2 linked regions of the Caenorhabditis elegans genome follow. The protein of the gene in region 2 purifies or fractionates together with the protein of the main gene of each other region. This does not show direct contact. Each region holds a gene or a part of one and is shown on either strand. Other genes may lie near its edges. The genes, in order: ZK105.3 and clec-59.

Region 1 (6,141 bases), on a different chromosome or scaffold from region 2:
TTGTAGTATAGGAATAGTATAGGACTGTTTAATGCGCAAAAACTCTTCGGGCAAACAGAAATACTTGTAATGTGATTTTTTAAAGATTCCACAAACATTTCAATTGTGCAAGCATTAATCAAAATCACTGTAATGTACTACTTTGGTGCGTTTCTGTCGTATTCAGTGATGTTCATGGGTAACATTTACTTCAAAAGCACGTTGGAAAGCATTCAAATTGTAAAGCTAACAGCTGGAATTATCAGCTTTTCAACTCAAAGCTTCACCCTCCCTTTATTTTGCTATACTGTGTAAGTTTTTTTGATTACAAGGAGTTGATTTTTTAATTTGTAAAACTACAGACGAGACTTTCGAAAAGCGTTTTCAAGATTTTTTGCATCAAGTCAACAAGTTGGACCAGTAATTGCAACAAGTACATTTTCATAAGCAGACAACTATTCAGGCGAACAAAGTTTAACTAAAATTGACAAAAGTCTGACGTGCACTTTTTTTTTAATTGCATATGCTTTCAATAAACGATTTAAGAAAAAATGATCAATTCATAATTCAATTCAAGAAACTATAACTGTCTAATAATATAACTAATATAACTGTCTAACAGGAAACCCGTTGATATAATCTATTTCTTCGTCACTTTTATCCGTGTAATTACGAGATCCACCGAAAATAATATCCGACCAAATTTGAAGTATTGAAGCGCAATATCTACAAGAATTCGAACTTTATTGCTAAATTCTGAAAAAAAAATTCACCGCTTTCTAGCTGCACCAGGTTTCATGAATTTACTAATTTTGACAGGATGCATTGCAACCATATTCTTGTGATAAACTGTATCCCATTTCTCACGGTTTGTCCAAAGATAACTGGTTCGAGCATAGAGAGATCTGAACTTTAATTGCATATAAATACAATCAGCTTACAATTGATTTACGTTGAATGATCCACGGATCGCAAAAACCTATTCACTGCGATTTCCAAGAAGAATTGGTTTTCATAGAATAACCGCATAAGACTGGCATAGTACTCGCTTTGTAATGTGGGAATATAGTAACTGAAATTTGAATTATTACTGTGATATATGTTAACCAGGGGCGTGCGGCAAGTTTGCCGAATTTGTCGAATTTGCCGAATTGGCATTTTGAGATTTGCCGCACATCCCTGATGTGAACAATGTGTCACTTGTTTTTTCTAATGTGCACAAAAATCATGTGTAACTTTACCCTACCGAAAAGTAAGATGCAATCATAACTCACAAATCTGAGATACTTTTTCCAATCGGATTCAGCATTTGTGTTTCTGCGTTATCTGTCAAGTTGAAGAAAGCGTAATTTTGCAATCCTTTGTCAAATTTGTTCCATGCATCTTGAAATTTTGTATTGTTAGTGATTTTGATAGTTTTCAAAATGTTGATAGCTGCTTTTTTTCCTGCAACAATACAAGGAGAAACCTAAAAGAAAGTTCCAATATTTTCAAATCACCATAATCTCCGCTCCACCAAACGTTTGAAATGTTGTAGATTCCATTCAAATGGAAAACTCTCGAGTAATCAATTCTTTGCCAGATATTGAATATTGCATCGTCTGCCATCATGAAATATCCTTCCACATTGCTAAGTCGCATTTCTTTAACCAAAGTGACACAATGATATGCAAAATATCCTTTGTGGATTTCAGCAGGGTTAACATGAACGTAGTTGATTGGAAAAATAGTTGATGTAAAGTTATCAACGTTTGTAAAATTTTCCGGATACCAGGAACCGCAGAAAATTGTCGATGCAAAATATGGTTCGTAGAGTCTTTGAAATAAACCCATTCCATATTTCCATGGGTAATTGTTGACAACTATTAGGACCTGAAAATTGTGTTAAAAAAATTTATGTTGTTTGTTTTTAAAACTAAAACGGGTTAACAATGACAAACATACCGTGTTTAAGTTCTTTTTGAGAACATACGAGTTTTCGTGCTTCCTGGAAAGCTGCTCTGGAGAAGGGAACTGATTCGTTAAGTCTGAGAATACTGAATTAGAAAATCATACATTGAACACTTACTAGAATAATCAGTTTCGTTACACCAGTAAACGATATCTCCGAAATAATTTATTTTCCGAGTAGCCCGTTGAACATTCTGGAATGAATAGATAAAATATCACATGTTTCATACATTTTTGAGAGTTAATTTTCCCACCTCATCTAGGTCAGTTTTCTTTGTTTCTTTTAATTCAAAGTCTAGCTGCATTCTCCTGCAATTCACATCTCTAGAGGTTTCGTTTTTCGATGGAGTATAAGGATCCTCGTAATTTCCATCAAGTATGCGGGGGAATTCAAATCTATAAATAGTAGAAGAGTATATTTGAAAATACCGCTTTTACCATTTTTTGTGAAAAATGTATAATTGTTTCTTTTCTTTTACAAATCACCTCTTATATTAAAACTCACTTTTATAATAAAACTCACTATCAGATATGTAACTTTTAGTTGAAAATTTGTTTTACGTTTCTAGAATCTTCCATTTTCTTTTCAACTCACCCCACTCTCTTCAAATCGTTCAAAAACATTTCCGTCAACATAGCATCCTCTTTACCCCACAGTTTCACTTCAACTAGATCATTAGCCAACTGTTTCACACATCTCTCCAAATCGCTAGAGTTTTCAGGGGCACATTTCCAGTCATGAAGATATTCTATCATTTTTCCAGAATCTTCATAAACTTGTTTCTCGTCCTTGAAATCTTTCAAATAGTCATGCGCATTCCTGAATTGTACCGCGTTTGTTGGTACGAATGACACTGTTAATCCGGATAAATGCAAGATTTTCTGAGAAACAAAAGATCTCCAAATGTCAGTGGTTCTGGAATATCAAAAGTCAACCATGAAAATATTTTATAGTAAACCTGAATGACACCGTAGTCGGGAGGAACAAAGTATGAAATGCTGATTTGTGGAACAATGTATTCTGTGAGTTCCATGGAGAATATGTGCCAACGGACAAAGTTATGGGAGGAGCAAACTTATTGAATTTCAAGTTTAAACCAGATTTAGTGTCAGCGTGAAGCAGTCTGAAATTTCTATACATTTTCTTTATAACTGAAAGTTTTCCATACCTATAAATTGCGTCCACGTCCGGATCATGGCGCACTAAACCTTGTTGCACAGCTGCTCGTTTCATTTGATAACACAATACTTGTGAATCGTTCCCATTCGTGTGTTTCTAAACGTTTTTGAAATTTTTTCACTTTTTTGGAAATAATTGCTTTCAAGAAAACAAGTCATTTGGTTTTTTTGCAATATTAAAAAACAAATAAAAAAACACGCTGTGGAATTAATAATGCGAAGGTTCGTACAGGAATACATAAGTCTTCCTTTGTCTCTTAACTTTTTCCCACCTCAATATGTTCCAATGGAAACCCTCTTGGCCACATTTGATCCATTCCATAAAATCGGTAAGGATTGAAAAGTCGTTTTCTAGAAAACTGTTATGAAAGGCAATCACAATATTTGAAATTTCTTACAATATTCTTTCCTCACTTCTCATTTGAGGCCGATACCGAACTCCCGATATTGTGTCATCAAAGTCGAATTGCTTTAATCCTTGACCTGAAATCAAATGTTCCCATAGATCTTACATGCCATCATTAGCAGATATTTCATGGGACAAAAATTCTTGAAAAAATGTAAACTTAACATATGGTTTATTGTCATCATCCGTGTCATAAATCCATTCAGCTCCGTGAGAAATTGCATACAAATAGCCTATATTTTTTCGAGTGTATGATTTATAGGGGAGCAATGCAGATATGGAGAATGCTGTAAATATAAATTTGGCATTAAAAATTGAATTCAATGTTTAACTCACGCAACTGCTTCTGATATTCGACTGATAAGAAATGCACATTTTCCAATTTCCAATCCAATGGAGTTTTAGTATCTGCTACTACAACTAAGTTCCAGTCTGGAAATGAAGATAGTCTCTGAAAATGGTATCAGTTATTTGAAACCACTGAACCGGTTTACTTTAACATCTTCAGTTGGAGCACTGACACTTGTGACAACAATCCATTTATTTCCATTCTTTATTTCAACAACTGGTGATATTAGTTCTGTTCTTTTTACATTTGCAGATAGATCCGCTTTTCCCATTAGTGCAACATAGCAAAATGTCGTTGCGCAGGAAATAAACAGCAACGCCTTTATCGACCAATTCATCTGAAATTACTTTCGTGGAATAAACACTTGATACTTGTTTTAGAATCTATATAAAAGAAACAAAAGATAGAGTGAGATGAGACATTTGTCACAATAGACAAGTTCAGATGTCCGGCGATCGACTTGGCGTTTTTAAGAACATACAAAATGTTCATGGAAGTTACAACGTGGTGGTCTCTTTATATGACCAGCTAGCTGCTTTTGAACCCAGCTGCTTTGAGACCCCTATAACTCAATATGATGGATACCATTCTAATATTAAATTTCCCTGAGAAATTTAATGTGCTTGAATATTAATATTTAAAACATAATGAGACCATAATAATAAGTTTTCAAAAAAGGTTGAAATGTTTTTCTACGATATTTGGTCATATTGGTCTCATAGAAGTGAATTTCAACCATTTCTTCTTTCAAAGTTAGAAAAAATAAAGAGATAACCCTTTACAATGTGCAAACACTTAACACAACTCAGATAAACGCTTAGTCCTCTAATTAGATTTCAACCAAAAATTAGATTTCAACCAAATGGGGACATAATTAATAGGCTTCCTATTCTAATCCAATATGGATTTTCTAATCAAATATGGTTGAAATCCAATCCAATATAAAACAAATCTAATGAAATTGGTTTAAATCTAATCCAATACGGAACAAATCTAATCAAATATGGATTTCTAATCTAATATGGAACAAATCTAATGTAACATGGATTTTATAATAAAATATGGAGCAAATATAATCAAACATGAATTTCTAAACAAATATGAATTATGTCCCCATTATATTTGGTTGAAATCTAATTAGACGACTAAGCGTTTGTCTGAGAAGAGTTGACATCAAAATGCAAACAATTGGCCAAAACAGTCATGAGTCAGGCATCAAAAGCCCTAATAGTAAATAGTTTAATTCAATTAAAATATTAATTAAAGTAAAAGGATAAGATTTTTCTGCAACATTCGTGGTACATACATTTTGTAGGAAATAATTTTTCAGAATGCAATTTGTTGTCGATCAAAAAGTGTACTTTCTCCGTAGAATTTCATTATCACTTTTCTGGAGGAAAGTTATCAAGACACTATAAATGTTTATTTAGTTAACTCGTTGAATGAAACACAACTATAAAAATCGTTCAGTAAATCTAGGATGTTAATGAAAAGATATGAACCATTATTATAGATTCCACATTGATAAAAATCAGTTTATGCAAATCAAGACTATTTGGTTAACAGTAAATTTGCATGCAAATCATGCAAATCAAGACTATTTGGTTAACAGTAAATTTTTGAAATATTCATTTTTTAAAACAAAGTTATTTACAAGCGGTATAAAAGCGGTAAAACATTTTCCAGAAAGCCTGCAGTGTTTTGCAGTGCGTTCAGTGGTATTTTATATAAGTTAAACTAACAGTACACTTGGTGACTCTACAAGGATTTATTATAGACAACTAGTAACACTAATAGACAAGTAACGCAAGAACATAAAGTAAGAACATGAAGCGAGTAAAAAGTTAAGACTGATTCGATGAGCATCTCCTGTTGGGCGGTGTTGTACACGTGTCTTGTGGTCGTCGGTGTAGACGTGGAAAGGTCACCACGTGGCTGCTCGCGTCCGTCATCCTTTTGTGCATGCGGTAGTGGTTCACGTGTTTAATGGATTGACGTCCTTGTTCTTGGTTGCATGATGTAGTTCTCAGAGCAATGTGGATGTGGATTGTTCGTAGTAGTGATCTTCGCCAGTAGAGTTCAATTACAGTAATACTTATGCAATAATTATAGAATAATTATTAAGTCGTGAATAATGGAGATCCTGCTCCATGCTATTCGCGACATGCAGTTCTTCATTCTTAAAAGTGTGAATCGAATACAAACGATCCAAAAGTGTAAAATTTGGCCGTTATCTGTCGGGGGTCTAAAAATTTATATCATGTGGACTTTTCATGTA
Region 2 (3,825 bases):
TTTGCTCTCTACAACAATGCTTCCATCTTCCAATTCTTCCCCCGTAATAAGCGTCTCAGTACTCATCAGAAATCTTGCCTTGATGAGCATGCTCGAAAAATGGCTGTTTTCATGATGGAGAGACAAGAAGAGTACCGTTACTACGAGAACTTGGCCAATCAGGAACAATTCTCCGATGATGCCTGCTTCAGTGACACTGGAATGGACTCCGGATTCTGCAGTGGAGACACTTCAACTGGACAATCAGCTTCAACATCTCCTGCTCCAGCCCATCTCATTCCAAACCCATTCTTTGATCCAGAATATGTTGCTTCCAAGACAACTATGAAACTCGTTGCCAATCCATTCTACAACCCAAAGCTCGCCAAGGAAATCAAGAAGAAGTCTACTCATACTTCTAAGTTTCAATAATTTCTCATTAACTCTTACAACTCTCCAAGTGCCAATTTGTTTTCTGTACTTTTCATTTGCCGGTCATTTATTTATTTTTTCTTACCTTTTATCTTGTTCAATATTTTGTAATTTTCCGCTTAAAGCAAAATTTCCCGTGTTTTTTATTGTTGTCCTTTCTAATTCCTAATCAATAAATTAATCAGTATAACTGAAAGATCGTTAAAGTTTGTCTCACAATTTTATTCATTAAATTAAAAGCAATCAAAGAATTGAATTTATTTGTTTGACAACAATTGTACATAGTATGAAGAAAATCAACATTAATAATAATAAATTACATATAAAACTAATGGTTTGAAATGGAATCACCTCCAGAGGAACAGTAGTTATTAGTGTCACAAGCAGCAGTTTCACATACATAGTTGGAGGCAGCTGCGAATTGATGAACGTTTTGCCATCCAATTTCCAAATCAACAGTTGTCTGTCGATTCAAAACAGTTGTCAACGAGGAATCAGATATTGGATATCCTGAATTCCAGATTTCATAGTTCTGAAGTTGTGGTTGTGTCCAATCTTGTGGCTGATCCCACTGCCACATTCCATTGACCTTGTTCAGTCCGATGTGATAGCTTAATGGAAAATGGAAACCAGAGAAGTTTTTGACAGATGATATAACAAAATTGTGTTTCCTGTTGTCATATTCATTGAGAAGATATGAATTTCTCCATCTATTACGGCATGATAATTGAGCAGCACGCCAGACGGCAGTCAATCCAACTGGAAGAATGCAGATTCCGTAACGGTAAGAATCCACGTCATCATGCAAAGCACGGTATTGAATCCAAGAAGTTGGACAGAAGCAATTTGCTGAACAATACGTGTTATTTCTTTATAAAATCAACTCAGTTTGAGATACCTTGAAGTAAAAATCCTTGAATTTCTCCGATAACATTCAAATTTTCATTCGAGAGATTGTGATAAGGAGTTGCAATTTTCTCGAGATCAACAAGAATGTCTCCGTCTTTATTTTGATCATATGCCACGGTGATAATTGTAACTCCAGAGGTTTTCAAGCGTTGAGCAACTGGAACTGGATTCAAGTCTCCACTTCCTCTGAAATTTTTTGGTTTTTAGTTGGGATTCCAAAAAATGCAACTCACTTGTATGTAGATGCATATACAATCACAACCTTCTGATAATGAGCACGGTTAAATCCATGCTTTCCCGCTTGAAAAACCTTCTCGGCTTGTGAAAGCCCTCTGGCAAGATATGATTCTTCAGAAGAGCTTATTGTTGCCAAAGCAGAGTTAATTCCACTATAGATATCATCAATTGATTGGAACTTGTTTAGATCCGCCGCCTGGAACAATACTAATGAGGAACAACAGTTTAGGGAAACGCTTACAGTTGTGGCATCAACATTGTATGTCACTAGTGCTAGTCTTGTAGTCTTTGGACTTGTCGGATTAGTGCCAATCTGTGTATTTTTACTGAATATGGAAGCAATATTTGCAGCGACCTGAAATATGCTCTTTTCAATAGAATAATTTGATTAGAATTACCGTACACTTGTCAATCCTCCCTTGGTCATTCCAGCAGAGTTATCCACAACAGCTACAACATCCAACCATAAATTACTCAAATCTTGTCCACATATGCGATCCGTATAGGACGAAGAAAGGTATGCTAAAAGTTACTAATTTTGGCAGGTAATTGATTGAAATAAGACTTACCATGAAACAAGAAGAAGAGCAAACAAATGTTTTTACTCATTTTTGCAAACAAATGAATGATTATTTTTCTCAATTCATTCTCTCTTTTATACACATGGAAGTTTCATTAAAATGATAATACACAAGATGCAGAGTGTATGTTTGAATTGAAGTATCCCAGACACACCTTATTACTGTCTCTTGTTTTCAAAAAAAACCAACGGATGAAACTTTGTTGTATTGAGGAATTATTTAACTGATAACACCACTGGTAACTTATTTTCGTACTACTATTTTTGAAAAGTAGTTGCAATGTTTTGAAATGCCGTACTAATTGAAAAAGTACGGGAGATTTCATTTGTTGTGAAACAATTGGTTAACGTAATTTTTCCTTCAAAATTATTGGTGAACAGTGTTGCTAAAAATTTTTTAAGTTGTAGCAAACGAAAAGAGAAAAAAGAAAGTTAATTATTTATTGAGAAAAGCCGAATAAATTTATTTCAGTTTTTGCTAGATTGTTAGAAATTTAACTTCACAAACTAAGAGTTGAATTATCAGTATCACAAGACGCAGTCTCACAAACATCTGCATTGAATGGTTTAATATTCTGCCATCCAGTCACCAAAAGTCCGCTTATTCGTTGGTTTGAAACACCTGGATTCCAAATTTTTATTACAAAGAGGGAGAAGCAGTACTAATAAAATAAATACGGTCTGTAGAATCAGAATTTATTATTATACAACAACAAGTATGTATCGTGTATATTAGTGTTTTACGGAAATTTCAGCAAGTCCAGCTTCGGTGCAGTAATTATCAGTATCGCAAGATGCCGTTTCACAAACATAATTGGCTCCAGTCGTCAGTGGCTTGATATTCTGCCATCCAGACTGCAGTTGCACACTTGATTGTTGATTCAGAACTCCTGTGAGAGTAGAGTCCGAAATGGGATATCCTGGATTCCATCCTGCATAACTTTGAAGCTGTGGTTGAGGCATTCCTTGTGGTTGATCCCATACCCAGACACCTTTGACCATACTGAGTCCGTTGTGATAAGTTAGAGGTACACTGAATCCTGTGTAATTGCTCACTGCAGTCAGGACATAATCGTGTTTGTTCGAATCGAATTCAGTGACAAGATATGCATTTCGGTTCATGCATGAAGATTTGGCAGCGCGCCATACCGCATTGAAACCGACTGGAAGAATGCAGACACCGTAGCGGTAGGAGTGAACATCAGTGTAAGATACACGGTATTGAATCCACGAGTTTCGGCAGAAACAGTTCACTGAAAATAGTTTGTATTGCTATATAATATAAGTTCCTTTAACAAACCTTGCAGCAAAGCATCCTGAATCTCTCCAATAACTTGCCCGTTGTCTTCGGTATTCGTGAAGTTGTATGGTGGAGATGCAATCTTTGCCAGATCTGCAAGAAGAGCACCGTCTCCGTCTTGATCATATGCCACAGTAATAACAGTCACTCCAGAAGTTTTCAGTCTTTCAGCAACTGGCACTGGGTCCAAGGCTCCGGATCCCCTAAAGACAAGCAATAAATGGTTGCACAAACTGTCTAAAGAACATACTTGTAAGCTGATGCATAGACAATCACAACTCTCTGATAATGAGTACGGTTGTACCCTTGTTTGCCGGCTTCAAGTACATCTTCTGCTCTTGCAAGCCCATTTGCTAGATATGACTCTTCGGAAGTGCTGACTGACGAA

What was found.
Region 1: the proteins of clec-59 (region 2) and ZK105.3 fractionate together in Caenorhabditis elegans (co-fractionation; one large-scale study listed by BioGRID). This does not show direct contact.

What each region holds. Positions count from the first base shown.
Region 1 is NC_003283.11:7,695,201-7,701,341, reverse strand, and holds ZK105.3 (Glycosyltransferase), read right to left. Parts: upstream 4,201-6,141; coding exon 4,009-4,200; intron 3,966-4,008; coding exon 3,851-3,965; intron 3,802-3,850; coding exon 3,680-3,801; intron 3,593-3,679; coding exon 3,507-3,592; intron 3,460-3,506; coding exon 3,381-3,459; intron 3,206-3,380; coding exon 3,099-3,205; intron 3,054-3,098; coding exon 2,889-3,053; intron 2,846-2,888; coding exon 2,525-2,845; intron 2,326-2,524; coding exon 2,184-2,325; intron 2,124-2,183; coding exon 2,048-2,123; intron 2,007-2,047; coding exon 1,924-2,006; intron 1,852-1,923; coding exon 1,479-1,851; intron 1,426-1,478; coding exon 1,254-1,425; intron 1,052-1,253; coding exon 932-1,051; intron 885-931; coding exon 753-884; intron 706-752; coding exon 582-705; 3' UTR 528-581; downstream 1-527. Other genes in the region: srsx-40 (G_PROTEIN_RECEP_F1_2 domain-containing protein), read left to right, coding at 86-294.
Region 2 is NC_003280.10:10,477,283-10,481,107, forward strand, and holds clec-59 (VWFA domain-containing protein), read right to left. Parts: upstream 2,167-3,825; coding exon 2,127-2,166; intron 2,080-2,126; coding exon 1,961-2,079; intron 1,913-1,960; coding exon 1,799-1,912; intron 1,754-1,798; coding exon 1,554-1,753; intron 1,507-1,553; coding exon 1,310-1,506; intron 1,261-1,309; coding exon 740-1,260; 3' UTR 722-739; downstream 1-721. Other genes in the region: ZK666.4 (Pepsin-I3 domain-containing protein), read left to right, coding at 1-411; clec-60 (VWFA domain-containing protein), read right to left, coding at 2,870-3,390, 3,438-3,640, 3,688-3,825.